4 linked regions of the Alligator mississippiensis genome follow. The protein of the gene in region 3 purifies or fractionates together with the protein of the main gene of each other region. This does not show direct contact. Links are inferred from orthologs where the notes say so. Each region holds a gene or a part of one and is shown on either strand. Other genes may lie near its edges. The genes, in order: MTA3, MTA1, ZMYND8 and MTA2.

Region 1 (7,434 bases), on a different chromosome or scaffold from region 3:
CCTGTGTTGCTGCATAATTAACAGCAGCTAAATTGCTCTTGTTTTCCACTAGAACTACTAAATTCAGGAAATGAAACATGGACTGTTCGATAATGTATGAGAAATGTTATACTAATGGTCACAGACTTTTTTTTAGAAGGGATATGAGCATGTGATTGACTGGAATACGTACTGCCAAGAAGGGAAACTCATATGTAGGGACCTAATGAAATCGCAGTTTTATAGATTTTGTGAAATCTGGCATTGGCTAAGAAAGTAGGCAATGCCAGTGAAATCTGAAGAAAGAAGACAGGGAGAGAGAGAGAGAGAGAGAGAGAGAGAGAAAAAGAAAACTCACTCAAAATAAAATCCTGGCTCCCCAGAGGAAGCCAGCAATTTTTGAGGTGCTGCGGCCTGCCACAGGGGGGAAGCAGAAGGGGAAGAGCTGCCCACTTGAAGGGCTGCAGGCAGCATAGCTGATGCCCCTGCCCCTCGCCGTTGATTGATTGTCTGTCATGTTGGCTGCCTGTCATGTGGCCCTACCTCTCTCCATCAATCCATGGTGAGGGGCAGGGCCTTTGCAGCCAATCAATGGTGAGGGGCAGGGTCACTGCCCCCCCTCAGCCAATCAGAGGAGTATGGGACGAGACCATTGCATTCTGCCCTCAAAACAGCGGCTGGACCCTGCATTCTGCCCCCGAACATGATTGCCAGGCCCCATATTCTGCCTGAAAAATCAGCAGATACTGCCTCAAATTCAGTAGGTCCCTTCTCATATGTATGGTTAATGATTTTTCCCCTTATGTTTACTAACTTATTGCATTCTACAGTGTATTTCCTTTTAACTCAGGAATGATGTGAGATGCCATCTTTATATCATCCATAGCATCTGATGAAGTAAGCTGTTGCCTATGAAAGTTTAAGCCTTTCTGAATGAGTTTGTCTCTAAGGTCTTGCTTTCTGCCATCTTTATAACAGGATACACAGACAGCAATCCTGGATGTGAGACAAATGACACATCATCATTGTTACGCAAGAAATTAGTAGAACCTTTTTGTTTTCCAAGGAAAGAGTCCAAATCATAATCTAGCTCTTTAATAATATATGTTTTTCATGTGATGAATTTAAAATAAACAAGGAAAATCACTTATAATTTTGTTATTGGTGCCTTGAGAGCATTTCTGAATCAGTTTTATTTGTAAACAACTCTTTTAAAACATTTATTGATTCTGAGACCAGCTACAAGATTTATCTTTGTTTCATCTAGTAATTTTTCCAGGATATATGGTAAACTTTTTCTATTGGACATTTTTCACTCTCAGACAGGGTTTTTGAAAACAATATAAGAATTTTCATGTGTCACCGTCCAACAAGCCTTGATTACTACTGTCAAATGTATTCAAGGAGATCATCACTTTAACTGAAGGTTTATGCTCGGATGAATTGTGTGTTACTGCTCAAATGAAAAAAAGGTACATCATCATGGTAAAACAAATGAAAAACCAACAATGCCACTGAATAAATGTGTAAGCAACTCCCTTTGGATGAGAATATACAGCTGTCTGTTGAGAATATTAATATTTGAGTACAGCAGTGATTATGCCAGTCAAACCTCTGGATGCTGAATGTAAAATACAACATGGAAATAAAAACCAAGAGGGTCACAAGTTAAAAACAGCACAGGGTGGGATTCATTGCTTTTATGACAAACTGTGATCCAGTGGAACAAAGGACCAGACCAGGAAGCCACAATTAAGTCCTGCCTCTACTAGTACTGTGGAAATTTGAACAAATTGTTCAAACTATCTTCTTCTAAATGTAAAAAGGTATAGTCATTATAGGCACATGATTGTAGCCTTCTGCTACAAGAAAGGTTTTTATGCTGTCTGTTAAGTGGTCTGAAATTGTTAAAAGGTGTGAAATACTATAATTGCTGTAAGATAAATGGCATGGTTAATTAGATCCATTTTGTGACTGAACATTTCAAAGAAAATATCTTACAAAAATAAGAGTGTGTCTTTTTTCATGGAGTAGTAGTACATCATGTATCTATAATGAGGGACAGTTAAAAAGTAGAATGAGGACCTGCTCATAGGAATTTCAATTATTTAAATACTCCAAATATGTATTTCACATACCCTATCAGTAAACACAAGTACACAAACTCTAATATCAATCTGTGGACATGCATAAGAGTACACAGGCACCTGCATGCACCCCTCTTCCATAATAAGCATGCATTTGTATCTTCTCTAAAGTGCCTTTATGTATGGGTGCATACTTCACTGCCCAAAGACACAACTGTGATTATGTTCCTTACTTTCATTATAGGCACCCATTCATTTACTTGTGCTTTATAACAAACCTATGTTTAGATCAGTGATTCTTAAGCAGGGTGCCACAAGATCCACTCACCAATATTGAAATGTTATGCAGTCTTAGTACTGCTAAGTGAGCAAACACCTATAACTGACTCACAAGGTAAACCCGGAGACTTCAAATAGGAATCCAATCAAACCGGAAAACACTCTGTCCTATAATCAATTTTCTGAGCCCTTTACACCAGAATTGCTCTTTTTTCCTGTAGTTAAAAATGAGTGAAAGCTAAGAGCTGGCATTTACTGAGGGGTGCTTTGAATCTAGAAAAGTGAAAAGCCACTCATCTAGATACACAGCTCTTAACATTTCTCCTTCCATGGACATACAACAGACCACTGGTTCTCAACCTTTTTAGACTCAGGGCAGGCACCCTTTGAAAAATGTCAGCTCTTAGCTTCCACTCATTTTTCAATGTTGGGAAAATACTAGAGGCATTCTTCTGTTGTAAAGAACTCTGAAGGACTGCAACAGGTCAGATTATTTTTTACACTGTGGATTCCTATCCGTAGTCTCTGGGTTGATCCTGTGAGTGGGGTGTGCCAAGACTCCTGGAGGGTTCTGGCTGAAAGGTCTTGCCCCTGTGCTCAGGGTTAGACCAAATGCTGTAGTTAGAATCAAGAAGGAATTTTACCCCATGGTATATCAGAAATTGGTATAGACTGTGGAAGTTTTTGCCTTCCTCTGTAGCAGGGGGCCTGGCTCTTTTCCTTGGATCTCTCAGGTGTGTTTAATAATACTTATAGTAGCAGGACATGGGCTGCTGTGGTCCCCCTGCTGTACTTGTGGCAGATGAGGGTGCTGCGCCTTGTGGTTGTGGGGTGGGCAATTATTTTGGGCGGAGGGCCTCTTACTGAGTTTTGGCAAGCAATCAAGGGCTGCATGACAGGGAGCCCAGGGCAGATCAATATTCATTTTCTAAATTTTTTAGGAGCCCCTCAGGCCGGATAGAATGGCGTGGTGGACCACCTTTTGCCCACCCCTGGTGTAGTCAGTCACATGCAGGTGTTTGCTAACAGGTTAGACCAGGGGTGTCAAACTTGTCTGGACTTGCAGGCCAGAGAAGTGCTACAGGATTAGTGTGTGGGCTGGATGACTGGTGTGGGGATGGCCCAGTGGGCTTGACTGGGCCCACAGACTCTGTTTCCAGTCCAGCGGGAAGAGGCCTGCCACCCCAGGCATTTACCTGCTATGACAAGAATGAGCTGCGGACCTAGAAGCACAGGCTCAGGGGTGACTTGGTGGCAGCCTATAAGTATATAAGGGGTATGCATCAGGATTTGGGGGAATGTCTGTTCACCAGAACACCCCAAGGCATGACAAGGTCCAGTGGTCACAAACTCCAGCAAGACCATTTTAGGCCGTGCATAAGGAAAAACTTCCTTACTGGCTGAGCCTCCAAGGTCTGGAATAGACTCCTTACCAAAGTGGTGCAAGCACCTACTCTGGACACCTACTCTGGACACCTTCAACAAACATTTGATCTTATGAGGTCCCTTCCAGCCCTAATGTCTACAAAAATCTATGAAAGTCTGTGCCCTGGCTATCTCCCCATATGTCTGTGGGGGCTCCAGTGCCGTAGCTCTCATGAGGGTGCTTGGCTAAGGTGGTGGGACAATGTCCCTAGCAAGGCTGGAGGCTGGTCTTTTGGCCTGCAGGCCGTGTGTGACACCCTGGGGTTAGACAAAGGACTGGAGCTAGACGTCTCAGTGGTGGCAGGTGATGGAACAAGGGGCAATGGTCTCAAGTTGCAGGATGGGAAGTTTAGATACATTATTAGGGGGAAAAAATAAACTTTCAAGAGGAGGGTGGTAAAGCACTGGAGCAGGTTACCCACTCTCCATCCTTAGGAGGTGTTTAAGACCGGCTAGACAAAGCCAGGATGCTGTAGTTGGGCTGGTCATGCTTTGAGCAGGGGGGTGGATCAGACGCCCCCCTGACATCCCTTCCAACCCACATTTCCTATGATGTGTATGGGGCCAGCTTGGCTAAGGCCCGTCCTGCACCGGGCGAGGGGGAGGATGCCCCGATGCCCCCCGGCGGCCCGCCCACTCCAGCCCGACTCGTGCGCGGCGCCCCGGCCCGGCGTGCAGGTGTCTCTCCGCCCTGCGCGGGCCCCCGCAGGGCCAGCCCCCGGGCCAAGATTAACCCCTTGCGCGCTGCAATCAGCGCGCGGGCGGGAGGAGGAGGGGGGAGGTGGTGGGAGCCGCGGGAGCCGCTCCCTCCTCGCCTAGCCCGGCCCGGCGGCGGCGGCGGGAGGAGGAGGCGCAGCGCGCAGACATGGCGGCCAACATGTACCGAGTGGGAGGTAGGTGGGAGCCGGGCCCGGCCCCCCGGGGCGCTGCGGGCAAGGGGCAGCGCGTAGGGGGGGAGGGGTGTGTGGGGTCGGGCCCGGCCCCGGGCAGCGGGGCAGGACGGGGAGCAGGGCCCGGCCCGGCCCGGCGCTGCCACGGGGAGAGGGCACGGGCGGCCTGCCCGCAGGGCCGGGGGCACACGCAGCGCCCCCGCCCCCCCTCGGCGGGGCGAGCACGTGCTCCCCGCAGCCTCTGGGTGTCCCTGTGTGCACACGTGTGTGCCTGTGTGCGTGTATGTACCTGTAGTGTGTGCACCTCTGTGTGACTGCTCGGGCGTGTGTGTACCTGTAGTGTGCGTGCACACGTGTGCACATCTGTGTGCGCCTACGTGTACCTGTAGTGTGTGCGCACGTGTGTGCTTGTGCGCCTACGTGCGTACCTGAAGTGTGCGTGCTAGTGTGCCTGTGCGCGTGCTCGTGCACATAAATGCCCATACCTGTAGTGTGCACATATACATGTGGCTCTGTTTGTGTTTGTACACGTGTGTCTGTGTATGTGCACACATGTTCCTGTGTGTGCGCGTGCATATGTGCATGTGCCTGTGTGTGCTCACGTGTGCCTGGGTGTGTGCTTATGCACCTGTGCCTGCCTGTGTGGGTGTGTACATGTGTGCCTGTGTGTGTACCCATGCTTGTGTGTGTGTTGCGGGGGGAGGCAGCCATCCCTGGGCAGGAGGTTGTTGAGGGCCGGAGGTCCTGTGCCTGGCCTCTGCTCAGGTCTGATGGGCCCACAACCTGCATCTGTCTGGGACTTCCTGCAGTGTCTGTCATTCCCCCTTGCTGCTTCTTGAAGGTGCAGTTCCTACCCCTGCTTCCCTTTCCATCCCCACCCCACCGCACCACAGTTTGATGATAAGCTGCCTGCGGTCTGCGGGGGAATAGAGCAATTTTTTTTTTCATCCCCCTTCTCTCCCTTGTGTGTCGGTTCACCCGCTGCATGGGCACAAAGGAAGTGAGGCCAGTCAGAGAGTCCAAGAGTCTGTGGAAGAAGACAAACACTTCCTGTGTACACCGCAATACTGCTTTGCTGTGATTCCTGGCATAAAGAATGTGAAAGGGAAAAGTCCAGCTGAATTTTGCCTCTGTACACCCCCTGACATTTACTACACAATAGTATACCTGTCCTATCACTGCCCAAAGTAGTATCCGGTGCAGGGGACATGGAGAACAGGAACTTAATAAGATACATGTTTTCCTGTTTGAGCAAATCATGTGCTAAGGAAGCCTGAATTAAAGATGGCAAACTGATGAACTGGGTCCCCCTTGTCCCCCTTCCACCTGATGCAGTTATAGCAACAAGTCCACTCTGTTCCTCTTCCTCTGTTAGGTCATTTAGTCCTGTAAATCTTTACTCAGTCTTTACTAGAGTAGTGCTTCTGAAGATCAGGTAATGGTTTACAACAAGGATGTCAAAGATGTGGCCTGCAGGCTGGATCTGGCCTACAGAGCCATCATCTGTACAGTGGAGCTCTTGGAGGGGTAGAATGAGCAGGCGCAGACCCACAATTTAATTTTGAGGTATGGAGACTGGGTTTTTGGTTGTAGCCGTGTTGGTCTAAGGACATAGGCAGGCAAGGTTCTTTGGGTAGATGTGATATCTTTTATTAGACCAACTGAGTAGTTGGGAAAAAGTTCTTTGCAAGCTTTTGGGTGCAATCACCCTTCTTCAGGCATAGGGAGTCTCTGCTGTTCTGAGATCTCTAAGGAATCAAAAGCTAAAAGTGTGGCAGGATGTCAGTGAGAATGTAAATAGGTACAACTTTTTGTTTTCCTAATTTTTGCCTGTTTACATTCTCACTGACATCTTGCCACACTTCTAGCTTCTCTCATTTCTTGGAGTCTCAGAACAGCAGAGACTCTCTATGCCTGAAGAAGGGTGATTGTGCCCAAAAGCTTGCAAAGAACTTTTTTCCAACTACTCAGTTGGTCTAATAAAAGGTATTGCATCTACCCAAAGAACCTTGCCTGCTGAGGTATGGAGATGTGTTTCTGCTGCAGGCTGAGCCATGACTGCATTAATCTCTGTGGCTCCCTGAGCTGACGCAGCCCTGCTGCTACCACTGACCAAGGTGTGTGTGGAGTTGGCCAGCAAGGCTCCTTGGGATCTGAATCTGGCCAGGGGGTGTTGCAAATGAGTTTGACATCCTTGATGTACACAATGTAGTTCCTGCTGCTCAGACTGGATTCTCATCCTGTGGGTCTTCAACTCGTAATAGAGGTGAAAACCATCCTCTCATTAGGGTGAAACGAGATGGGATCCTGAAACTTTCTTTTCTTAGGTGGGATCATGATATGAAAAAAGTTGAGAACCACTAGTTGAGAGCTTGCTAAACTTTCTACTTTTGTGTTCCAGATGAAAAACAATGATAGCATGCATATTTTTTGTGGTTTAATCTTAAGATGTTTCTCAACAACCATCTGGGAGGTAGGGTGGGTTATAGTGAAGCTAGTTAATTGGAGATTACCCTTGAAGACTGTAATCAGTAATTGGAGATTACTGGATTATATTCACTTCTACCATATATAGAGAAAACTCAGACATTGTTGCAAAACGAAAATAAGACAAACTTTCAAATTACATTTGAATTTAGTGAAGCATTTCTTAGAGAATCTCCAAAAAAGGTAGGTTTTGAGAAAACAGATTGAGGGAAAGATGTTGCGCACAGATGTTTTGATTATTTTAGGGGGTTGGACTCGATGATCTGTGAGGTCCCTTCCGACCCTAG
Region 2 (6,894 bases), on a different chromosome or scaffold from region 3:
CTTAAACCTTGGCAGCTAGATTAAAGCTTGCATTGGTTTGCCTTCCTGCCCTGCAATTGCAGTTTCCATTTCTGTGTAGACACACTTTTACAGACTCAAAACAAGGGCTCTTTATTCTGTATTCAGGTTTAATAATAAAATAAGGGAATTCTTTTAACTCCAGACCATGTGAGAAGCTGCCCACTAACTTTCATCCAGAAGTAGGCTGGAAAAGGAAGTTTACTGATAAGAGTATCTATTTGTTCTCTTGGAGGCCCTGACAATATCCTCCTGAATAGGTAAAATCCCAATCCCACAACAGTGAATTTACATCAGAGCACATTAGTAGCCAGAAGGGGCAGAAGTCCAAGCAGCAAGTCCCAAACCAAAGCTCCCCAATATATTCAGAGGTCAGTTTTGCCCAACACAACATTCCTAGAGATGCAAAATCCAAACAGATACCGGTGATCACACAGGCAGCCAATTCAGTGCAAAGCCACTCAAACCTGCCTAAAACAAAGATGGAAAATACACATTTGATTGTTTCCAAAAGCAGCCCATATTCATACTCCTGTGAATGTTTGGTGAAGAAAAGCATCTCTGTTATAGCTAAGAGACATGATCTGAAAAGTTTAGAACGAGCAGTCAAATTCGGCACTTGATTTCTGCAACTGATGCTCTGACCTCCTTTTCAAGTTGCCATTCATCTATAAACCAAGGTGATCTGCAAGCGTTGTACATGTATACATACAATATACATTTAGGAAATATAGCATCCATATTAGAGCGCAAAACAGAGTTTCCTGAAAGGCACTGTAGGTCCTGTAAGTCCCTACAAGAGTTGTCTACCAGCCAAACAGGGAAAAAATGCCGTGAGAAAGATAAGACTCAACTGTTAGTTCTGGAGGACAGATAAACAGATTTCACAGGTCAACAGGAACAAAGCTATGGCCCAGACCACGAACAAATCCCTGGCAACAGTTTGCACAAGCGTATGACCATACCACAATAAAATAATGTTCAGCACAACTGCTGTCAAACTAACTTCCAAACTTGGTTTTAAGAGTTATTACCATCTACATTTACTGAGTCAAAAAAACAGCCTAGTATAGGCCTACGATCACTAGGGCAGGTACTGGTTGATTCATACATGGGTCATCATCCATACAAGCACCAAAGTATCTCAGGAGGACAATATGACTGGGTGACCAAAACAACTACAGGCTTCCCTTGCCAACCACTAGCCATTCAGGTTAGATTCCTGAAAGTTCCTGTGGTAGGCAAGACAAAAGGCATATATGAAAAATGGCAGGGGGCGGGCCGATACGCAGCCGTGGAAAACTGGGGTTACTTAGAACTGTATACCGTTTTGGCTACCACAGTATACAGAATTTTAAGCGTGGAGACTCAAAACCATGGTTGGCGAAGGAAACCTGTAGTCAATATATCATCAGAATCAAGATGGTCTATTCACAGCTGCTCATGACCTAATCACATCTTGTGTGCACCCATCTCCTGTGCGAGTTACAACAAAGTTTGAAGCAGAAAGGTACTTGTTTCCAAACTCAGGGGCAACCAACACAGCCTCCTACTTCTAGTCACACTCAACAGAGTAGTCATCTAGAAATAGTTCCATCATCCCTGTAGGTCTTGGCAACATGACAAGTGAAGGTTTCATCCACATGTAAGTTAACAGAGTGGTAATCACGATAAATAGTCTTTGCCTTGAACAGCATGGCCTACAGAGCAGCTCTCTGTCTTCCAAGCAAAGCAAAGCAACACCTTAGAGACTAACTCATTCAGTTACTAAGGTGCCACCCTGCCCTGCCTTCAGACTAACAGGGCTAACTATCGCTCTAAGCCAATACAACTAGAGAGACTGGTACTCACTAACAGAACAGCCAGGCCCTCAGAAACCCCGTTTACAAACTGCGACAAGAAACGAGCCGAAAGCCAGCAAAACTTCTTGTTCTTCACCGTCCAGGTCTCAAGCGTCTCCAATCCATGGCAGCGGCGCTCAACCCTCGCCACCATCTTCCCAGTGGCCCAAGGGGCAAAGTCATGGCAACCAAATTGTAGTACGGTCTCATCATCAAGCCAAAACGCAGCCAGGAGGAAGGTATCCATGTCCTGGCATTTCACGGAGGGCCAGGCAACAGGGAGGTGCAACAAGTTGCACAGGGAGAGCCATATCCATGAGCAGGACCGGGAGGACAACAGCAAGCCCCCGTCGGGGCTGGGGCTGCTGCAACTTCCTGCCGCTCTCCCACCTGTCAGGTTTTCTTTGTTAAATCTACTCTAGTCCATCTCCCCACCCCAAGAGAGCGAGCGCCACAGCGCACTCGGGACCCCCGCGCCCTGGGGCCGAAGCAGTGCAGGGGTCTCCGATTCCCCCCGCCCGCCGCCAGCCTGAGACGGGCTCCGCGACCAGCTCCCCCGAGGGAGCGGGCGGAGGGCCGAGGCCGCCCCGAAAGCTCGGCCTCACCGCGGGGCCCGTGCTCGCCCCGGGCCAGCGCCGGCCAGGATGCGCAGGGCGGGGGCGGCAGGCAGCACACACCCGCGCCCCTCCAGCCAGCGCTGCCCCGGCCCTCTCTCTTCGCCCCCCAGCCCCGGGACATGCTCCAGCCTCACGCACCCCCGGCCCGGCCCGTGACGCCGCCGCACACGGGGAGGAGCGGCCGGCCAGCCGGCAGGCGGGAGAGAGAGAGGCAGGTAGGGGGCCGGGGCCCCTCCGCGGGGACTCTTACCTCCGACCCGGTACATGTTGGCGGCCATGCCCGGGCGGGGAGCGCGGGGGCCCGGCCCGCTCCCACCGCCGCTGCCTCCAGGTGCCGGAGCCGCTGGAAAATGGAGGCTGGAGCGGCCGGGAGGGGGAGGGGAACGAGGGAATTAAAGGGGCCGCGCCGGCCGCCGCCTCCCCCGGCCGGCAGGGAAGGCGAGGCGAGGCGAGGCGAGGCGAAGCGAAGGGAGGGCCGGGCCGAGAGAGGGCTGGCACTCGGGCGGGGTGGAGGTGATGGTGGCGGCGTCGCGAGGCCTAGGCCGCCCTGCCTCGCCCCGCCCCACCTGACCCGCCCCGCCCCGCCCCGCCCCGCCCCGGGAGCGCGGCGGCCCGGCCCGGCCCGGCCCTGCTCTGCTATGCTCTGTTCAGCGCCGAGAGCGGGCTCTGCTGGGCCTCGGCCCCGGCGGGTGGGGGGCCCTCCCCGCCCCGGGTCTGCCAGGCCCCCGGGGAGGCAGGCGGGCTCCTGGCCTGGACCGCGCAGGTGCCACCCACCGCCCTGGGGAACCCCGTTTGAACCCGCTGGGTGGCTGGGGCATGGGCACCGGGCTGGTCCCACACAGAGCACCGCCTGCGCCATCTCTGGCCTGACCCCATCCCACGTTAAAGCCCCGCACCAAGCGACTTCCTACTGCTGAACAAGAAACTGCCCGTAGCGAAACAAAGGATCCAGGCGCAGGAGCCTTAAAGCCGCTTGTCTGAGGCCGTGGTTACACCAAGCCAGGCCCCGGTTGCTTAAGCCCTTCTGGCGGTGGTCGCGGCCACAGGAAAGCGCAGTTAAAACCGAGCTTGAGATGGACAGCGACAGGGACCGTTTCCTGCCGCACGCAGCCAGGGCAGGATGGCTACTGCACCTCAACAACACGCAGGCCCCCAGCTTCCTAGCTTCTGGGTTTAAGGTCACACCTTTCTTTCAGTAAAAACAACACTAAACATTAGAAAAATTAAAGGTGCCTCCCTCATTCCCCTGTTAGGCCTTATCCCAGCCTTGAGGGTTTTGGCCAATCAATTCGCTCCAGGAGGAGCGGGAATCACAGTTCACTAGGGTTGTGGTTCAAGTGCCATCGCCATTAGGCGAGAGGCAAGGATTCCTCGGGGCGACATCTTTTATTGAACATGCTGCATAGCTGGGGTAGAGTTAGACCAGGATTCAAATGCAAGACCTCCAATAGGTCTCTAGGCTTGTCTAGCTGTATCCCAACTATACAGTTAAGTCCAATAAGAGATGTCATCCTAAGAAATCCTCGCCTCTTGCATAATTCCTTGACCATCACAGCTACAACATCACTCTAACACTACCGCTGCTAAAAGGAGCACCCGTCAAGTCTGCTGCACGTGGAGCTGGCTGGTGGTAGTTGCTGCTCCTTCTGTGCTGAGTTCCTTAACCAGTGTGGACGACACAGAAACTCTGTACCATTACGTTCGGTGACAGCAGCTGGTGTTGTCCAGTACTTCCCATCCAATTTTAATAGGGCCGAGTGTCCAGGTTTATCTTCAAGTAAGCTTTAGGCAGCATTCTGACAGTTAAAGAAGAAAGCCAAAAGATGTCTTTGGAGTCAGCACCCTAGAGCTTTTGTATCCTTTAAACTAGGATTACTCAAGCCTAAAATGTACTTCTGAGGTTAGAGCCTTGTTTTTCAACTGACCTGAGGTAACTCTTGTGACTGAAGCAGACATGGCTGTGGAGCTCAGAGCTAGCGTTGAATTTTTTATTTTTTTTTTGTAGACTTTTCTTAGTAATATAATATACAGCTTTCTCTGGTATTACATTCCCTGGGGGAAGGCTAGAATTAATATTGAAATTGTTCTATAATCACCATAAGTTGAAATTCAGGGCTGGCAAATATAATCCATTGTCAGCAACCATTTTTCAGAGGTCAAACTGGAAAAAAAAAGTCTTCTAACTTTCCCTAAGCCCTTTTGGCTTACAGGTTTAATGAGAAGTAGCATTTTTATAAAGCTAGAAAAAGTTAATGGTTATTGACCAGACCTGCCTCATTTCCTCCTTCTCATCAAAGGAAGTTATTCGAATTGCCTTTCTTTCAGATCACTCAAGATTTGCATGTTTTTACCTTCATTTTAGGCCCTGTGGTGTATTGGGTCAGCACACTAACATCCAGGCTAACACTAGTATTTTTGAGGTCCTGCTACTCCTTATGCAGTCTTTACAACAGGTCACTCTGCAGGGACTGTGGGATCACAGTACAAATACTATAGGTAATCAAACTTTTCTCTTTACAGAGTTAAACTCTCATTAAATAGATGTCACAGACTGCATGGTAAACCCCTGATACATAATCAAGCCAATCTTGTTTGAAAACTTTGGAACCGGCTTGCAGAGACAGACCAAACAGCTATTTTAATCGGTTCTTTTTTTTTTTTCTGGCAAGAGTGAGCAGAAACTCTTTTACATATATGGCCTCTGGAGAGGTCAGATCATAAAATAGGGCTCTTCGAGAAAGCGTAACCACTTTTACAGGCTCTCTAAAAGATTGGCAACTGCTTCAGTATGTATTATAGCAATACACTTGAAAGTTAAACCCATGAGCAATCTCTGGCATTTAAGATGCGTTTTGTCTGTTTGTGAGGGTACAAGTGGTTTGTGCTCCATCACCAACATGAAATTATTAAATGTTTTCAAATATCCTACAAATTACTTGTGCGTTTGTTAATCAGAAATTCTCTCTGTTTCAGCATGGCTTCTCTTGGAGTCTTCATATGCAATAGTCAAGATTTCCAAAGCTTTTTAAAATGTTTACCTCTACAAATGCAAAAGGGCTAAATCCTCCATTGTCTTTGAAAATCTCAACCAATAGTTTTCTGAATAGCGTTCCAGCCACTCATCTTCCATTAATCTGTGCAACTAAAGCACAAACTTACCAAGATCATAGCTGCTGGTTTCTACTGAAATAGCTACAAACCTGGAAGCATCATCAAATAGCACTATTGGGGATACAGTAAGTAGATGCATCAGACCCTCAAAAACACATTCCTTTACCTTATCTCAGGTTTGCCTTCATTGTTTTATGCAAATAACTACAAACGTGCCTTTCAAGGGTTCCAAAATCTAGCAATTACTGAGACATAATACCATTTCTATTTTCACAGCGATGGCCTTTCAGCTGTGGCTTTGATTTCTTTTGTCACTGCCCTAACCCTTTCTTTATCAATCAATATAACTAGTTTGCTGGAACATACATCTTTATCAGTTTAGCTTTAGTCAATTATCTTCAGTTGCCCTCTAAATTTACTTTAGCTTTAAGTTGAGCTTAATAGATTCCGTTCAACTACAATGTCATCCACAAACTCCTTTGCTTCAGGCCCCAATGAATCTAATTTCCATGCAGAAGATTTCTGAGATATTTGTGACACTGAACAGGAAACAGTGAAATTCACTGTGCCAACTGATGACACTGCCTGCTTGCCATTACTAGGGTAGAACAGCACTTAACAGAAATCTTCAGCTACATGCAATAAGGAGACTACTGTTGCACAAGATTATTTGGAGAGGAAGCCAGTAATTCTCCCAACTGATGCATCTATTTTGCAGTGTTTTGAGGGCAAAACCGTGTTAATTGGGAGTCTTCAAGTGGCTTGAAGCTGGGGTAGAGACTCTAATGCCAACCTCCATCCCAGATTCACAAGTTCAAAGTCATTCTAGCAACCCTCAGCAGTGAAGACAATTTCATAAACTAAAGGCAGCAGGGTATAATTTACAGGAATTCTGGGACTGCTAGAAGTTGTACCAGGAACAGAAGTGACCCCAGTCAGCAATGGGATAAAGATGCCACTATTCTTCCCTTAATCTCCCCCTCTCTGGTCTTTCACCAAATGAGAATTTCTCTCTCTTCCACTGCTGTTTTCATAGACATTAGGGCTGGAAGGGACCTCAGAAGATCATCGAGTCCAGCCCCCTAACCCAAGGGACAGGAAGTCAGCTGCGGTCATAGGATCCCAGCAACTTAAGCATCCAAATTTCTCTTGAAGGCATTCAGTGTAGGTGCTTGAACCACCTCCCATGGCAGGCTATTCCAGACCTTGGGGGCTTGGACAGTAAAGAAATTCTTCCTTATGTCCAGCCAGAAATGGTCTTGCAGTAGTTTATAACCATTTGACCTCGTCATCCCTTGGGGCGCTCT
Region 3 (7,021 bases):
ATCCTCTTCCACCCTGCTTGAGTCTCTGAAAGACAGTTAATGCAAAAGGTGGATGGTGCTTCTTGCTCACTGCTCTTTTGTGATTTAGTCTGATTATAAGATGATACATTATATGAGTAAGCATGCTTATGTTTTTTCAGAGACTTGAGCAGGTTGGAATAGTATCACACTCAGATGCCAAAGTCTGCTTAAACATATAGTAAATGAAATAAGATCTGGGCCTTAGTTTTTAGAATCCCAAATGTAGGAAGGAGGTAGGGCTCTCATTTCGAGAGAGAAAATGTGAAATCAGCCTGCAGATCCTAAATGCAGTGGTTCTCAACCTTTTAGGACTCAAGATACCCGTTGATATAGTCCAGTTACCTCTCACTAGACTCAAGGCATCCCATAGAGAATGTTAGCTCTTAAGTTTTCACTTTTTTTTTTTTTTTTCCGTATAGAAAAATAATAGAGCAACTCATCTCTTGCAAAGAACTTGGATCATACCAGGTCAGAATGCTTTTAACACTATGGATTCCTATTTAAAATCTCTGGGTTTATCTTGTGAATCCTGTTTGTGCACCAAATAGAGCTAACATTGCATGGCACCCCTGAAAGGATCTCAAGGCACTCCAGGGTGAGAATCACTGCCTTAATGTAACTTTCTCCTGATCCTTTTGCTTTCTGCATTTTCCTTTAGGAATGTGACTTTATCGTGTGTGCGTGCGTGTGTGCGTGCGTGCGTGTGGCACACTCAGTGTCACAGGCTGGACCATATATGCAAACCGAACGCTCCTCCCCTATACATACATCTCTTCCCTACGGGCTCCCATTTTCATTCCCATCATGCTTCCTAATATATGTGGGGGGATCCTTTTTTTCCCCTGTCTATATGAGACCTCTGCTTGTAATGGACAGAAGATGCATTATGGGAGTCAGTCCAGGGGTGGAAGGGTAGGGGTGCACACTGAAACTGGAGGAAATGGTGCCTCCTGCTTGTATTTGCTAGTAGGTGCAGTTTCTGGTTCTTTCCTGGGTATAGTTCCTCCTGCCCAAGACAGTTGGTGGTTGCAACATCTGTAGAATTAATTCCTTCTTTGATATTTTTGTCTTCCCCTTCCTTCCCCTATGTTTTCCCTGTTTCTCTCTTTCAGTATTACCCCCTCTCTTCCTTTTCTAATTTTTTTTCCCTCTTCAACTACTTAGTGTTTTTAACAACTTGAATCTTTAAAGCATTGAACTGGGTGAATGCTAATCCGTCTCTTTGTCCTCTCCCATACCTTAATGAAGCTGTCTGGCTTCCTCTTCTCTTTCTTTTCCTTCCCCTCCCCCTTCCCCCCAAAATTTACTCCTCCTATGTAAAAGAGATTAAGTTGAAATAGGAGGTTTATTTAATTGTCTTGCATATAATTTATAGGTATAGTATGCTCATTGTAACTAGGGTTCCTGTCAGGCTTTAAACTGGGTGCCCACCTCCAGCAAGAAAGAAAGCAGACAAGACATTTAAAGCATTCCCTTGCTTGATCCGCTTTTAAATAACTAAAAAGACTTTTTACCCTACCAGGTTTGCATTCTAAACAGGATATGCTGTTTGAAAGAGCAGCTTTTTTTTGGTTTTGTTCTTATTTTGCTGGGTGGTTGACCAGAGGCATTTGGATTACTCTTTCTAACTTAGGCCACTATTTCTTTGACTCATCATGGTAGAACTTGGGGCCTCTTCTAAGGCTGCTGCTGTTGCTGCTAGGTTATGCAGCAGACCATAATTATTAGCTGATGCACTGATTCCTTCCCTAAAGACCAAGTGTGTCAGTTTGGCAATCTGCCCAGCCACCATCAGCACCATTGCATTCACAGAATGAGGTTGCTGAGGAAAAAAATTGACGAATAATGCATGTTCACTTTCATTCTGTGTGTAATCTGAGTAATGCTAGAGCTGAGCTATCTATTAATGAAAATAGACTTTAGTAGTTGGTGACGCCCTTTCTCTTGCAGTTAGTGCATGGACGAATCAAAATCTAGATAGTTAAACATTGAGGGAAATTATCTTTTATTTTGCAGGGTTTTAGGCACAGACCTGACTTGAAGGGTTTGAACTATTAAAAGGAAAATGCTGCAAGTGCTCACTTGAATGTCATGGATTTCCAACATGTTCTTGCTGCTGTAGTGGGCTGTGCATTTCCCTTTATAGCAGCATACTGTTTCTGCTTCATTCCTAAAACAGAACAAAACTGCCAGTGTAATCTGTGAGCCTTCCTGCTCTCTGCCCTGAAAAACATTGCCAGGGCTAAAAAGGGAAAATGCTTCCAGCAGAGACTCTAGAATCGCTTATGAAATGAGTATTACACTTGGGGCCATTAATCCGCTGGTACAGCCTAAAATACAAACAGAAAAATGTACATTGTTTTGTGACATGGTGGTTTGGGAGTTTTCCTAAGAGACTGATTGTTATCTCTGAAATAACATGAATTCAACATGGGACACTACAGCCTAGGATGTTTATTATATATTGAATTGTATACATGTGAGTCAGGAAAATTCAAAATGGACAGACCTGTCTGTGTGTCTGTGAAGGTAATACCTATTTAAATCTTAAATTTCTCCCTTTTCCCACTACCCTGCACCTTTCTTTGCATAAACAATTATTTTTACATTTTAAAATTAGTTGCTTTTTACCTGTAATGGCCAAGTAATTTGTAGGTGCAGATAGACTTTGAACGCCTAGTTACCTGATGTCAGTGTAAATATTGGAGCACAAATGTAAAGTCTTTGTATAAATTCGGCCCTTTAAAATCTCCCTCTGGAATTGTGCCTTTCCTCTTCCTAGAATAGTGATAAATCCACTAACCCTCACTGTATTCAGAAGAGAACTGAATCACAGGGTGTTTGGGAAGAGGAATGAAAGCTCATTTTCTTTGAATAAGGTGGTTAAGAATTGGCCCCAAATCAGACTGGTTGTTCAGATGCATTGTGCTCTAACTCCAAAATCACATACCATCTTCTCAAATTGCTTCATTCTCCAGAGCCTTAATCTATGGTAACAACTGAGGCAAAATGCTGCAGAATTGAGAGAGCTGTGCTGATGCTCATATCTCCATCTGAAAGCAGACTCTAGTATTATTCCAGACATGGAAATCCATTCCCTTTTAGGGCCTACATTTAAAAAAGTACCAAGTCTGACAGGGTTAATAGACAGGAAGCTGCAGCTGCAGCCACTAATACGGAAGTCAGATTTTTGTTTAACTGACAGCTTTAGCAGGCCTGAGGATGGGGGAGGGGGAATTTGAGAATACAGCATCTGTGGTGCAATACTGATGATTTTTGCTATTCACTGCAGCTTTTAATTTCTTTTCTTTCTTTTTTTTTTTTAGTTAAGGAAACCAGCTTCCTACTCTGTAATCCAAAATATGTTTTTGTTGAAATCAAACATGCCATGGTTTTCACCTAGATTCTGGTATCACAATGTCTAATGAAATTATGCTCTGGGTATGTGACTTTTAGTGCTAATTTTAGGGGGTTTTAAAATCTGTAAGAAAATCATTAATTCTGGTCTTTCAGTTTTTCTTTAATTTTGTTCCTGCCTGTCTGTTCTGTGTCAAGATGCTTTCCTCCCTTTCTAAAGCACAGCTTTTTCTGAATGGGGTTTATTTCAGAATACCAGCAAAGTGATTTTAGCTTTTCTCCTAGACCTGGATGATGAACCCTCTTTGTTGCTGATTTAAAATCTCTGAGTTCAGTCAGTAATGACAGTTTGAGATGCATTTTATTTGTGCAAGCAGTTAGTGATCACTTTCCCCTGCTTGAAAATCTGGGTGTTTTTTATCAAGAGTTCCTGTTTGGGGTCTCTTTTTAAGTTTCTTCTGCTGAAGCAGGCCTAGCTTAGCCTGTCTTCTCTATGCACAGGATGGCTCCTGCTTGCCAGAGCTGCACAAAGATAATCGCTCAGGAAGTGTTTCAGCCAATCCCCTGAAGCTTTACATTCAGATTTACCAAAGTAGCCAATCCAGGATTAGCTTTTATTAGGAAGACAGATCATCAAGCTGAAGTGCCAAGCCCTTTCTGTCTGAGTACTGAGAGCCTGTCCTCCATGTTTTATAAGTATTGACATAACACTGTGTTAACAATGCATCCACAGAGGTAAGCTTTACTTTTTACATTTTTTTTCTCTAAGACCTATGAGCTGTGGGCTGAGAGTGTGATTCTCTGTGATCTGTCGTGCAAAACTCACACCACAGCACTTTATTAAGTTGAAACTGTTTAAATTTGCTTTCTTGGGTCACATGGTTAGTAGCCATTAGCCATAGCTTTATTTTGCAAACTGGCAAAACCTTGGCATACCTACTACTTCACAGGAGGATGGTGTTTTTAGAGTTTATCAAGATCCTGGTATTCCAAAGCAGCTTTCTCTCTCTGAGCAGTTTGCCAGCACTATTGTCTGTTGTGTCACATGCCTGCTGAAGAGAAAATGGAAGCTAGGGAGCAGATGCATTTAACTGCCCTACAGGGAGTCAAGCAGGGATAATGGCAGACAGCAGAACAGGCAAGTTTACCTTTCTAAACAGTGAATGGAACAGCTAAGATAAGTTATCTCTGAGAAAATATGGGATTTTTAAAAACCTAGACATCAGCAAAAAGTGCTAATGGCAGATTGTAGTTATTGGGCCTAGGTGGTGTTGTGCTGTTGCATCATGTTTTTTGTGCAGCTTATCTTAACTTGAAATGGATTTTGAACTTTTTTCTTATAGGAGTAGTTAATATATTATGTTTCTTTTAATGAAGGGCAATATATGGTTAATATTTTGTGCCTTTAAAAATGAGTTTCTTACACTGCAGGTTTTACAAATAGGTTTCTGGTCAATAAAATGCAGGATATCATCTGTTTATGTTTCTAATTGTTTAAAGAAAAATATGCTTTTGAATTGTTAGCTTCTTTCTCTGGCATGGTTCAAATAAACTAATGCACCTTTTATCTGTTTCTATTTTATTTTACACTCTACCAGCCACAGTTCTATGTTGTGGAGTCCAGGGGATATAAAATCATGTGTGGTTCATGGCAGTAGTACATGTTGTTCGTTTTTCTCCCTTTTTTTTTTCTTTTGGTTTAATGCTACGTAATTATTTCAAATATTTCCCTTTTGATCAATTTCCAAATCTGCCAGCCTGTTGTATCTTCTTAACTGGAAAAATGAGATGGTTGCTTGAACAGTTGGTAAGTAAGCAGTGTGCTCGTCTCTGAACATTTTTAATAGTTTACAAAATATTTTGCTTTTAACAGGGTGCAGTTAGCCCAGCAGGTGAAGTATAGTCCGTGGCTAGTAGCATTAAAAATCAGGAGTTTTGTTTAGCATCTATTTGCAATGACTTGTTCATGTAAATTCTGTTCCAGCTTGAATGCACTGTTTTTCTGATAATCTGCTGCTAAACTTGAAGGTTATACTTCCTGTTTACCTCTGGCCAGTGAAAAAATTTCTACTTACTTTTTGTTCCTAGATTCTTAATTAGCATGTGTGGAGGTTAGAGTGCAGTCAGGCTGTTTCTCAGGCTTATGAGGTGTAATGAAAGTGCTAGTGCTCAGCAATGTGGTGTCCTTATACAGTTAACTGGATGTTGGTTACTAAATCTGTTTTAATACCATATGAAATATAATCTAAGATGCATTTGTTTGATTTATTAGTAATTTTGACCGTTTTGCACTTTATTGCAAATTTTAATCATAGCATTTGAGTGCATATTTTAACAAACTGCAAGGAGATAGATTCTTTAGTGTTTTAAGCCTAACTGCATTTATTTGGAATAATTCAACCCATAATGCTTATATAATTTTAAGAATGAACCCAAATCTAATCTGGTTTTAGATATTACTGTACTTTGTCAGGATTTTATGCTAACTTTTTTATAAAGGTTTCCATGACTTTGATAACATAGTGTAACATGCCATTTAACTCTGGTTGCTTCTTTGCCAAGATTAATATCTTAGTGTGAAACAGAAGTATTAACTGAAAAGTCAGATTACAAACTAAACCAAAACTGAAATGAACTGCTGTTTCAGCATACAAAAAAATGATAGTGCAGCTAAGCAATAAGTTTGTGCTGTTTTAATTTATCTCTGATTAGTAAAATCAGAAATTGCATTTGGACATAATTTTCCTAGCAGCAATTTATACACATTAGCAGTTTGGTTTGGAGTCTGAAACATTGCACAATATTATATTTGTTTAATATGAGGAAGCAGGAGTAAGTGATCTGCAATCAAAAAGCTTGTATTAAAATGGCTCCCATAGGTTTTGTTAAACTAGGATCTGTTTCAAATCTGCACCTCCAGACACGTTGCTGACAATGAAGCATATTTGTATAAGCTGCCCTGGCGTATGTAATGAAACATAGTATCGTGAGTCTGTTAAAGTTCTCTATTTTTAATCACTCAAATATAATTCTTTTATAGTTCACAAAAAATAAATGTCTGCATTGCAGCAAGATGTCTGAGTCAAGGTAGAGACAGCAGTGTTGTTTTACAGATCAGCCCAATCACGCTGCTCCATGGAGTACTTGAGCCAATAGAAACAGAGGGTAGGTTAAAGATTGACAATTGCAGTGGCAAGACTGAGAAAGGCCTTCTGGAAATTTCTACCATCTTTGTTCCATCTAAGTAAAGCAAATTCAGCCAAGCTGAAGAATTTCATATATTTTTGGTGCTTTGTCAAGGTATGATGTTATCTCACTCCCTTTTTATAGATTGCATAATAAGAAGCACTCTGTGCTATTTTTCTACTATGCAGGCCAGATGGGATGTGAGGTTTTATTTAAATGACAAACCCAGGGTGTGGGGGGGAAACATATCTCCCCAAGATTTTGCAGGACTGGGTCTTGTTAATATCACAATTAGATGGAGCATGCATGAAGCAATGTAGCTGAAGTATATTCAGCTTGCAGAAAATGGCCATTATCCTGACATACACAGGAATTAATGATATAATTGCTTTTTGTTCTTTAGTAGCCAGAAGAATTAATTTCAATTGTCCAGGATGAATATGATTAGCTGTTGTTA
Region 4 (7,654 bases), on a different chromosome or scaffold from region 3:
CAGCCAAGGGGGATGGACGCGGTCCCCTTCCCTCCCCTCCCCATACCTTCAGCCAGCCGGTCGGGGATCTCAGCCTGGTACTTGCAGCCGACACGAATCTCGCCCTGGTCGGCCAAGAGGGTCTTCTGCACAGGGTCGAACACCAGCGAGTAGAAGAAACAGTCCTGGAACCGGGGGAGAGGAAATGAACCTTGGGCTGGGAACACCCCAGAGCCCCCAGCCCTCCAGACCCATGCCCAGGGAACTGCCCTCCCCCTAGCTGCCAGCCCAAAAGAGACTAGCTCCCCCACCTCCAGGGAGATGCACCCCCAACCCCAGCCCAAAACAGTTCTTCCCCCCCCCAAGCTCTACAGAGACCAGGACCTTGCCCCCAGAGAGCTACGACCCCCCCTCACCTCCTTCTCCAGGTACTGGCCCAGGATGTCAGTCTCGTTGAGCAGTGTCACGCTGCACTTCCCCCTGTGGGCAACCAGCAAGATCACGTGTCACATGCTGGAGTTCCCTCCCTGCCCAGGCCAGCTCAAGGAATCCCCCCCCCCCTCACCTGCCACCCCCCCACCTGCCACATGCAAAGCTTCCTCCCTGGTAGCTGCTGAGGTGCCCTCCAACACACCTTATGTGAGTGGCCGGCAGCGACTCGAACTGGCGGGACAGGAAGAGCTCGCGATGCTTCAGCTGGTGCCGCTGCTGCTCTGTCATTGTTGGTTGCTTTGACTCCTCCTCAAACTCCCCTGGGGGAACATGCCAAGCAGGGGGAGCAGGGGAAGGGGGGGTGTCAGGTAGCTCCACACAGCTCCCTCTTCATGCCAAGGAGATGGGCTCAGACCCCTGCCCACACTTCCAGGCCCCCCTCCCCGCCCCCAGCAAGAGCCGCTCCCCCCAGCCCCCATGGCAGGAAGCGGCTCCGTGGAGGCAGCTGCGGTCCAGCCCCGCCTGTCTCCAGCTCCTGGCAGCTGCCCAAGGGCTTGGGGGTGGAAAATCTACCCCTGCTCCTGCGCCCAGGAAACCCCAGGCAGAGCCCTCGCCCCCCCAATGCCATTAAGCCCACGTGGTCTGCAGCCTCCAGGCTGCACCGGGTCACGGGCCAGGGCAGCCCTGCATGGTACAGTGGGAGGAAACCCGCCACCCCTCAGCCCAGCTCTGTCAGTGCCTCCCATTCCTGACCTGCAGCCCCTCTCAGCCCCGCCGGTCCCTCACTCCTAACCCCACAGTCCCTTTCAACCCCTATCCCTGCCAGTGCCCCTCACATCCCAACTCGCAGCTCTCTGCCAGTGCCCTTCACCCCCAACCTGCAGCCCCCGCTAGCCCTGCCAACGCCCCTCACTCTTGACCCCCAAATTCTGCCAGCGCTCCCTCACCCCGGGCCCTCAGCCCCTGCGCCCCACTCCCAGGCCCCTGCTACACGGGCAGTGCTGGGAGAAACAAAACCAGCCCCCAATTTGCTCAGAGACAAGTCAGGGCAGCTCAGTCCCTGGGGTTGGACCTGGGCTGCTCTGTACCCCGTCACCCTCAGCCCAGGCCCAGGATAGACCCCCCTCCCTCCACAGTGGGAGGGGTCACAGCTCCCCCCTGGTGCCCCACTCACGGGCATTGCTGTCGGCCAGGCTGTTGAGGCTGCTGGAGATGTCACGGCGCCGGAAGAGGCAGACGACCTTGGCCTCCACATTGCCGTTGGCTGTCTGGGGGCAAGAGTGAAAGGCTGCCACAGCGCCCTGGGCACAGTTGCCCCCTGCATGTCTCCCCAGCCCCCCCAGCCTTGGTCTGCAACCCCCCACATCCCCTCAGTCAAGCCCTCCTCTGCCCCCCCAGACCTGCCCCACAACCCCCTCATCTCCCAAGGCAGGCCAGGCCCACCCCAGCCCAAACAAGACTCCCCCCGTGCAACCCCCAGACAAGCCGAGCCCCCTCAACCCTCTGCAGAACTGCCCCAGAGCAGGGCCTCAAAGGGGGGGAAGGGGCCTGGACGCCAGCCCCTGGGGCATGGGAGGGGGCGCGACTCCATCCTGCCGGGGTCCGTCCCCAGGGCGGCACCGGGGCCTCTCACCTTGTTGAGCTCCTCGATGCGCCGGACGAGATAGGGGTTGCTAGAGGAGTTTTCGAAGTAGACGTAGTCTGGGGGCGGGGAGGGAAGGGGGGGCTGTCAGGGGGGGCAAAAGCGGCGGGACCCCCAACCCAGCCCCAGCACCGACCCCTGCAATCAGCCCCCCTGAGGCCTAGTGCCCCCGACTGCGGCCCCCGGGGCGATCCCCACCCCCGCGCCCAGGGGCTGAATCTCTCTTGCTGCCCTCCCCCGCCCTGACCTGCCCCCCAGCCCCCATCTAGATACACCCCCCCGGGATCCCCAAACTCCCCGTGGGGCCGCCTGCCCCCCACTCCCCCACACGGCTCCCCACCCCCTGGGATGACCTGTCCCAGCCCCCCCAAACTGCCCCCTCAGAGCTCATCGACCCCCTCCAATACCCCTCGGGGGCCGAGCTACCCCAGGGACCCCCAAATCACCCCTCGGGGGCAGAGCTGCACCCCCACCCCCCTCCAAATACCCTGGGGGGGGCCGCTACCCCCCCCCCAGCAACACCCCAGGGCTCTGAAAAGTTACCCCCCAGGCCCTCAAACTGCCCCCACTCCCTCCAAATACCCCAGTGGGGGGTTACATAACCCAGCCCCTCCACTTGCCCCCAAGCTACCCCCGAGATGACCTGCCCCCCTCACCCCCCCGAATGCCCCACGGGGGATATCTACCCCAGCCCCCACGGGCTCAACTCCCCCCACCCCCTCCAAATACCCAGGGGGGGCACTTGCCCCTCCCCCCCAGGGGACGGGGGTCGGTTCCGGTTCCGGTTCGGTGCCGGGCCCCACGCGCGCACTCACCGCCCACCCGGTACATGTTGGCCGCCATGGCCCCGGGCCTGGCCCGGCTCGGCTCGGCGGAGCTCGCTACCGGCAGCCCCGGCCGCTCTTCATCGCCTCCCGCCGCCGCCTCCTCCTCCTCACGCAGCGCCACTCGGGTGTTTCCGCCTCCGCTTCGGACGTTTCCGGTGCCGCTCGGGTGTTTCCGCCGCCAGCTCGGGCACTTCCGGCATCACTCGGGCGTTTCCGTCACCGCCCTGCCGCTTCCGCCACCACCTCGGGCATTCCCGCCAGCACTTCGAGTATTTACGGCGGCGCTCGAGTATTTCCGCCCCTAACTCCACTCTCGGCCACTTCCGCTGCTAGCTTCGGGCCCCCCCCCGGAAGAGCCTTGGCTCGGTTTCGGCTCTTTCCGGCAGCACTCGAGTCTTTCCGCCCGCCGCCGCTTTCGGCTCCTTCCGGAAAGGGGGGGTACTTCGGGTCTTTCCGGCTCCCCATTAACCTTTTCCTCGCCGTGTCGCACCATTTCTTCCCTTTTACTCCCTCGCCCTCTTTAGCATATATGAGCATAGATCTGGCTTCTATTTGCATATATTAGCATAGAACCAAAAAAAATAGACATGCACCCTCCATACCCCCAGTTAGTGACTCTTTAGCCCCAACCCCAAGGCGCTGATGAGATGCAGCCAGTGCTGAGGTGGAACATGGGGATGCTGGTGCAAACATGCAGCCACCTCTAGGGTGGGGCACAGCTCCCCTGCATCCAGGGATACCTCTGAGCCCAACGCAAAGATGCAGCCACCTCTGCGGTGGGGCAGACCCCCCCACTGCCCCAGCCGAGCCTCCCCGCCCCACCAGGAAGGAGACGGGAGCCCGGCCCCTGATGCCAAGGCTTTATTTGGGCCTGTCACAGTGTCGAGAGCGGCTTGGAGCAGCCGGGAATGTAAACGAAGGTGGGGGGGCTGCATCCTGCCCCCCCCAGACTTGGTCCCGTGGAGGAGGGAGGGGGTGCTTGGCCCCTCCCTGCTTTGGCACTGCCTGCCTCCCCCTCCTGCTCTGCCCTGGGGGAGTTATGGTTAATGAAGCAGGTCACATCGTTAGCGTGAGTTAGTGCCGCGGCTGGCTGGGGGTGGGGGGGGCACTCAGGGCCCCCCCCCAGCCTCCTGGAAGGAGAGGGAGGTGGAGGAGAAGGAGCGGCTGCGGGGGGGCACGGCGCCCCCCCCGCTCAGCACCCGCCACTGGAAGATGCTGGTGTCCTTGCCCCCCAGCGAGACCAGGTGCCCGTCGTCGTGGGTGAAGCGCACGTTGGTCACGTGGCTGCCGTGGCCACCATACATGTGGCTGGGGGCCTGTGGGAGGGAGGAGTTGTGGGGTGCAGGAGTTGGGGGGCTGAGACCCCCCCATAGAACCCCAGTGCCCCCCTAAGGTCCCAGAGCCTCCTCCAGGCCCTGCTGAGCCACCCACCCCATATGAGACCTCCTAGAGCTCCCCAGCTGCACTGAAACCCCCCACCCCAATAAGAGACCCCTCCAAAACCTCAGGACCCCCACACTCTCTGCAGCAACCCCAGCTCTGAATATAAGACCCCCCCCTAAAACCTCAGGAAACCCCTCGAGTTCGGCCAGCCATATTGTGGAACCCCCCCCGGTCCCCCCACCCCCAGCAGAGACCCCCCTCAAGACACACTACCCACTACCTGGCCTACAAGGCGGAGTGTGCCCCCCACCCTGATACCTGCCCCCTCTCCAGGCAAGATGCCCTGGGCAGAGACACGCCAAGACAGCCAGGGCCCTCTGCCCCAGAAATTCTCCGATCCAGAATTGCCTCAGGTCCAGGGCAGAAGGGCCTGGCACCCCCACCCCAACCCCCAGGGAGGGGGCGGGGGGGGCATCTGACCTTGGCACGGGAGCAGGGGTACTGGAAGAGATGCACCTTGCAGAAGTCATCGGCCACGGCCACCACGCGCTCGCTGTGCGACCGGCACAGGGAGTTGATGTCTGTGCCGTCCGAGCCATCCGGCCACACGCCTGCACACACATGAGCACGTGTGGGCATTCCTCTGTGCCCCCTGCCCCCCCTGGTTCTCCCCGGCACCCCCAGGGGACACCCCCAGGGTCCCCCTCCCCATGTCCCCAGCTCACCGAAGACGTGGAATCCGAGCACGCAGGTGTACGTTGCCCACTCCCGGTCCCGGCTCTCGAACCGGTTACGCAGCAGCTTGCAGCTCCCAGCCACGTCCCCTGGGGGGGCATGGAAGGGGTGTGGGGGGGATGCACAGCCTGACTCCCTCCAGCCCCAGCCCCCTTGGAAGCTCCTCAGCCCCATGCAACCCACTTCCAGCCCCCTCACCCCATGGGGACCCCAGACCCATGCAACCCACCCTGCAGCTACCCCATCCTCCAGGCCGCATGGAGACCCCTCCAACCCGCCCTCACACCATGCAACCCCGCTCTACCTCATGCAACCCCACCCACAGCCTCCATCCCATGGAGAGCCCCCCACCCTGCAGCTACCCACCCTCCCAGCCCCCATGGAGACCTCCCTGAACCCCCCCCCAGCCAACCTGGAAACCCCCAGAGACACCCAACCCCATGCAACCCCCTTCCCTCCAATCCTGCCACACCCAGTTGAGCCCCCCAGCGCAGCCCATTGGAGCCCCCCGCAGCTCACAGTAGAGGATCTCATAGTCGCCTGAGTTGGACATGATGAACTTCCCGTCCTTGGACCAGTCCAGGTGGGTGATAAAGCTTGAGTGACCCTGGCAGGGGGGGAGGGGGGTATAGCAGGGGCATGAGACAGACAGACCCCGCCATTATGCCAGAGGCCTATAGCCCCATCCCAGGACCCCGTCCCAGGGCCAAATGCTGACAGTCTGACCAATGGCTGGACCCGTACCCTAGCCAGTACCCCTCCCCAGCCCCCCCAACACTCTAGACCCCCCCACAAACCCAGAACCCCCCACCCTGCTCCTGTACCCAGCACCCCAAGACTCCCACACCCAGCCAAAGCCCACCCCAGTCCCCAGCCCCATTTTGAGATCCCCCTACCTGCCCCTGCCCCTCCGAGCACCAAGACCCGCCTCCCAGACCCCAATACCCAGAGACCGCCCCCCAGCACCGACAGACCCTCTCACCTTGATTCTGCCCCACCTAGCATCCAGAGATCTCCCCCCCTTCTTTGCCCCTGCCCCCTTGCCCACCGGCCCTCAGGGCTCACCGTGCAGCGGCCAAGGCGGCTGTACTTGCGAGCACCGTCACCCACGCTATAGATGTAGATGAAGTTGTCGTGGGACCCGATGGCCAGGAACTCCCCGTCTGCAAGGGGGGGGCAGTGAGCCCATGGGGGGGGCTAGGACCCTGGGGGTGCAGAAAGGGGGGTTGGGGCTTTGGAGGGGAGGAGGGGGCCCACGGGGGCAGGTGTGACCCTATGGAGGAGCTGTGACCCTATAAATCCCTGTAGGGGAGATAGGAGGAACCATGGAGAGGGTGGGGGGTGACTCCGTGGGGGGGGGGGGGGTGCGACCTGGTGAGTAGCGCATGACCGAGAGCTGCTCGTTGCCGTCCGAGCCGCTGGCTACAACCTGCTGCGTCTCCGTGTCCAGCACCAGCCACCTGTAGGGGATGGGGGGTCAGGGCCCCTGGGAAAAAAAGGGCCTGAGGGAGGGGGGGCACCAGCTGCCCCCCCACCCCCCGCCCCAGGGGGGGCAGTTACCGTCCAGTGTTGAGTCCCACGGCCGCCACCTGCCCGCTGGGGTGGAAGTCAGCGCACAGCCCTGTGTCCTGGGGGATGGGAAGCGTCAGCCGGGCCCAGCAGCCCCCCAGGCTGCAGGTCCAGCACCCCCAAGTGCCCTCCCAAATGTCCCCCCTGAGGCCACAGACCACCCCCCAAACACCCCCACAGGGCTGCAGAGTCCCCCAAGACTCTCCTTGACGCCACAGCCCCCAAAGGCCCCCCCCCCCACCTCGAGGAGCAGGCTCCAGGCCAGGCTGTGGGCAGCGCCGTCCCATAGGCAGAGCTGTCGGTCGTGGCCGCAGGTGAGGAAGACGCAGAGCCGCGGGTGTGTGGCCAGGCCCCACAGTTCATCTGTGTGCCCCTGGGGGAGCAGAGCAGGCTGTGACCCCTCCCCCCCCCCAGCTCATCCGTGTGCCCCTGGGGAGGGGAGCAGCTGTGACCCCCCAACCCCCCTGCAGCTCGTCCGAGCACCCTGAGGCAGCAAGGTGGGCTCGGACCCCCAGCCTCTGCCAGCTCTAACCCCCCCCCCCCAGGACTCCCACAGCTCCCTTCTGGCCCCATAGCCCCCACACAGCCCACTCAGCCTCCCTACAGCACATCCAGATGCTGCTGGGCACATGAACGGGGCAGGCTGGGAACCTCCAGCCCCCCAAGGCCCCCCCCAGTGTAGCTATACCCCCCATTACCTGGACAATGGGGACGAAGCCCTGGGCCAGCCCCCCCCGCAGCACTGCGTTGCGTGTCGTCCCCACCAGCAGCTCCCCCCCGGCACCTTCTGCGATGGTGCGCACGGCCCCAAACCGCTCAGACAGCTGGGGGAGTGGGAGGGGGGTGTCAGGGGGCAGCTGGAACCACCCTGCCCAGCCCCCAGAGCTGGGGAGAGCCCAGCATCTGGGCTCCCAGCCCCCGCTGCTCTCATCCCCCACTGCCCCCGAGGACCCCGGCATCCGGGCTCCCTGCTCTCAACCCGCACTCCTACTCCCTTCCCCAGGCTGGAGACAACTCAGGCACCCAGTCCTACCAGCTCTCACCCCCCAGTCTCACCACCCAGAGAACCCAGGTGTCCGGCCTCCCA

What was found.
Region 1: the proteins of ZMYND8 (region 3) and MTA3 purify together in Homo sapiens (affinity purification with mass spectrometry, with the first as the bait; 3 studies listed by BioGRID). This does not show direct contact. The link is inferred for Alligator mississippiensis from reciprocal best matches to the Homo sapiens genes ZMYND8 and MTA3.
Region 2: the proteins of ZMYND8 (region 3) and MTA1 purify together in Homo sapiens (affinity purification with mass spectrometry; 3 studies listed by BioGRID and IntAct, with this or other methods). This does not show direct contact. The link is inferred for Alligator mississippiensis from reciprocal best matches to the Homo sapiens genes ZMYND8 and MTA1.
Region 4: the proteins of ZMYND8 (region 3) and MTA2 purify together in Homo sapiens (affinity purification with mass spectrometry; 3 studies listed by BioGRID and IntAct, with this or other methods). This does not show direct contact. The link is inferred for Alligator mississippiensis from reciprocal best matches to the Homo sapiens genes ZMYND8 and MTA2.

The regions. Positions count from the first base shown.
Region 1 is NC_081824.1:194,059,125-194,066,558, forward strand, and holds the start of MTA3 (metastasis-associated protein MTA3), read left to right. Parts: upstream 1-4,425; 5' UTR 4,426-4,635; coding exon 4,636-4,663; intron 4,664-7,434. UniProt on the Homo sapiens protein: Acts as a component of the histone deacetylase NuRD complex which participates in the remodeling of chromatin.
Region 2 is NC_081828.1:43,019,338-43,026,231, forward strand, and holds the start of MTA1 (metastasis-associated protein MTA1), read right to left. Parts: upstream 3,008-6,894; 5' UTR 2,755-3,007; coding exon 2,727-2,754; intron 1-2,726. UniProt on the Homo sapiens protein: Transcriptional coregulator which can act as both a transcriptional corepressor and coactivator. Acts as a component of the histone deacetylase NuRD complex which participates in the remodeling of chromatin.
Region 3 is NC_081832.1:15,384,538-15,391,558, forward strand, and holds the start of ZMYND8 (MYND-type zinc finger-containing chromatin reader ZMYND8), read left to right. Parts: upstream 1-4,011; 5' UTR 4,012-4,099; coding exon 4,100-4,113; intron 4,114-4,414; exon of another isoform or gene 4,415-4,516; intron 4,517-6,592; exon of another isoform or gene 6,593-6,678; intron 6,679-7,021. UniProt on the Homo sapiens protein: Chromatin reader that recognizes dual histone modifications such as histone H3.1 dimethylated at 'Lys-36' and histone H4 acetylated at 'Lys-16' (H3.1K36me2-H4K16ac) and histone H3 methylated at 'Lys-4' and histone H4 acetylated at 'Lys-14' (H3K4me1-H3K14ac).
Region 4 is NC_081838.1:3,231,577-3,239,230, reverse strand, and holds the start of MTA2 (metastasis-associated protein MTA2), read right to left. Parts: upstream 3,015-7,654; 5' UTR 2,897-3,014; coding exon 2,869-2,896; intron 2,113-2,868; coding exon 2,045-2,112; intron 1,680-2,044; coding exon 1,586-1,679; intron 732-1,585; coding exon 614-731; intron 460-613; coding exon 396-459; intron 165-395; coding exon 47-164; intron 1-46. Other genes in the region: EML3 (echinoderm microtubule-associated protein-like 3), read right to left, coding at 3,990-4,196, 4,744-4,874, 4,989-5,087, 5,518-5,605, 6,064-6,161, 6,370-6,458, 6,559-6,626, 6,809-6,940 and 1 more. UniProt on the Homo sapiens protein: May function as a transcriptional coregulator. Acts as a component of the histone deacetylase NuRD complex which participates in the remodeling of chromatin.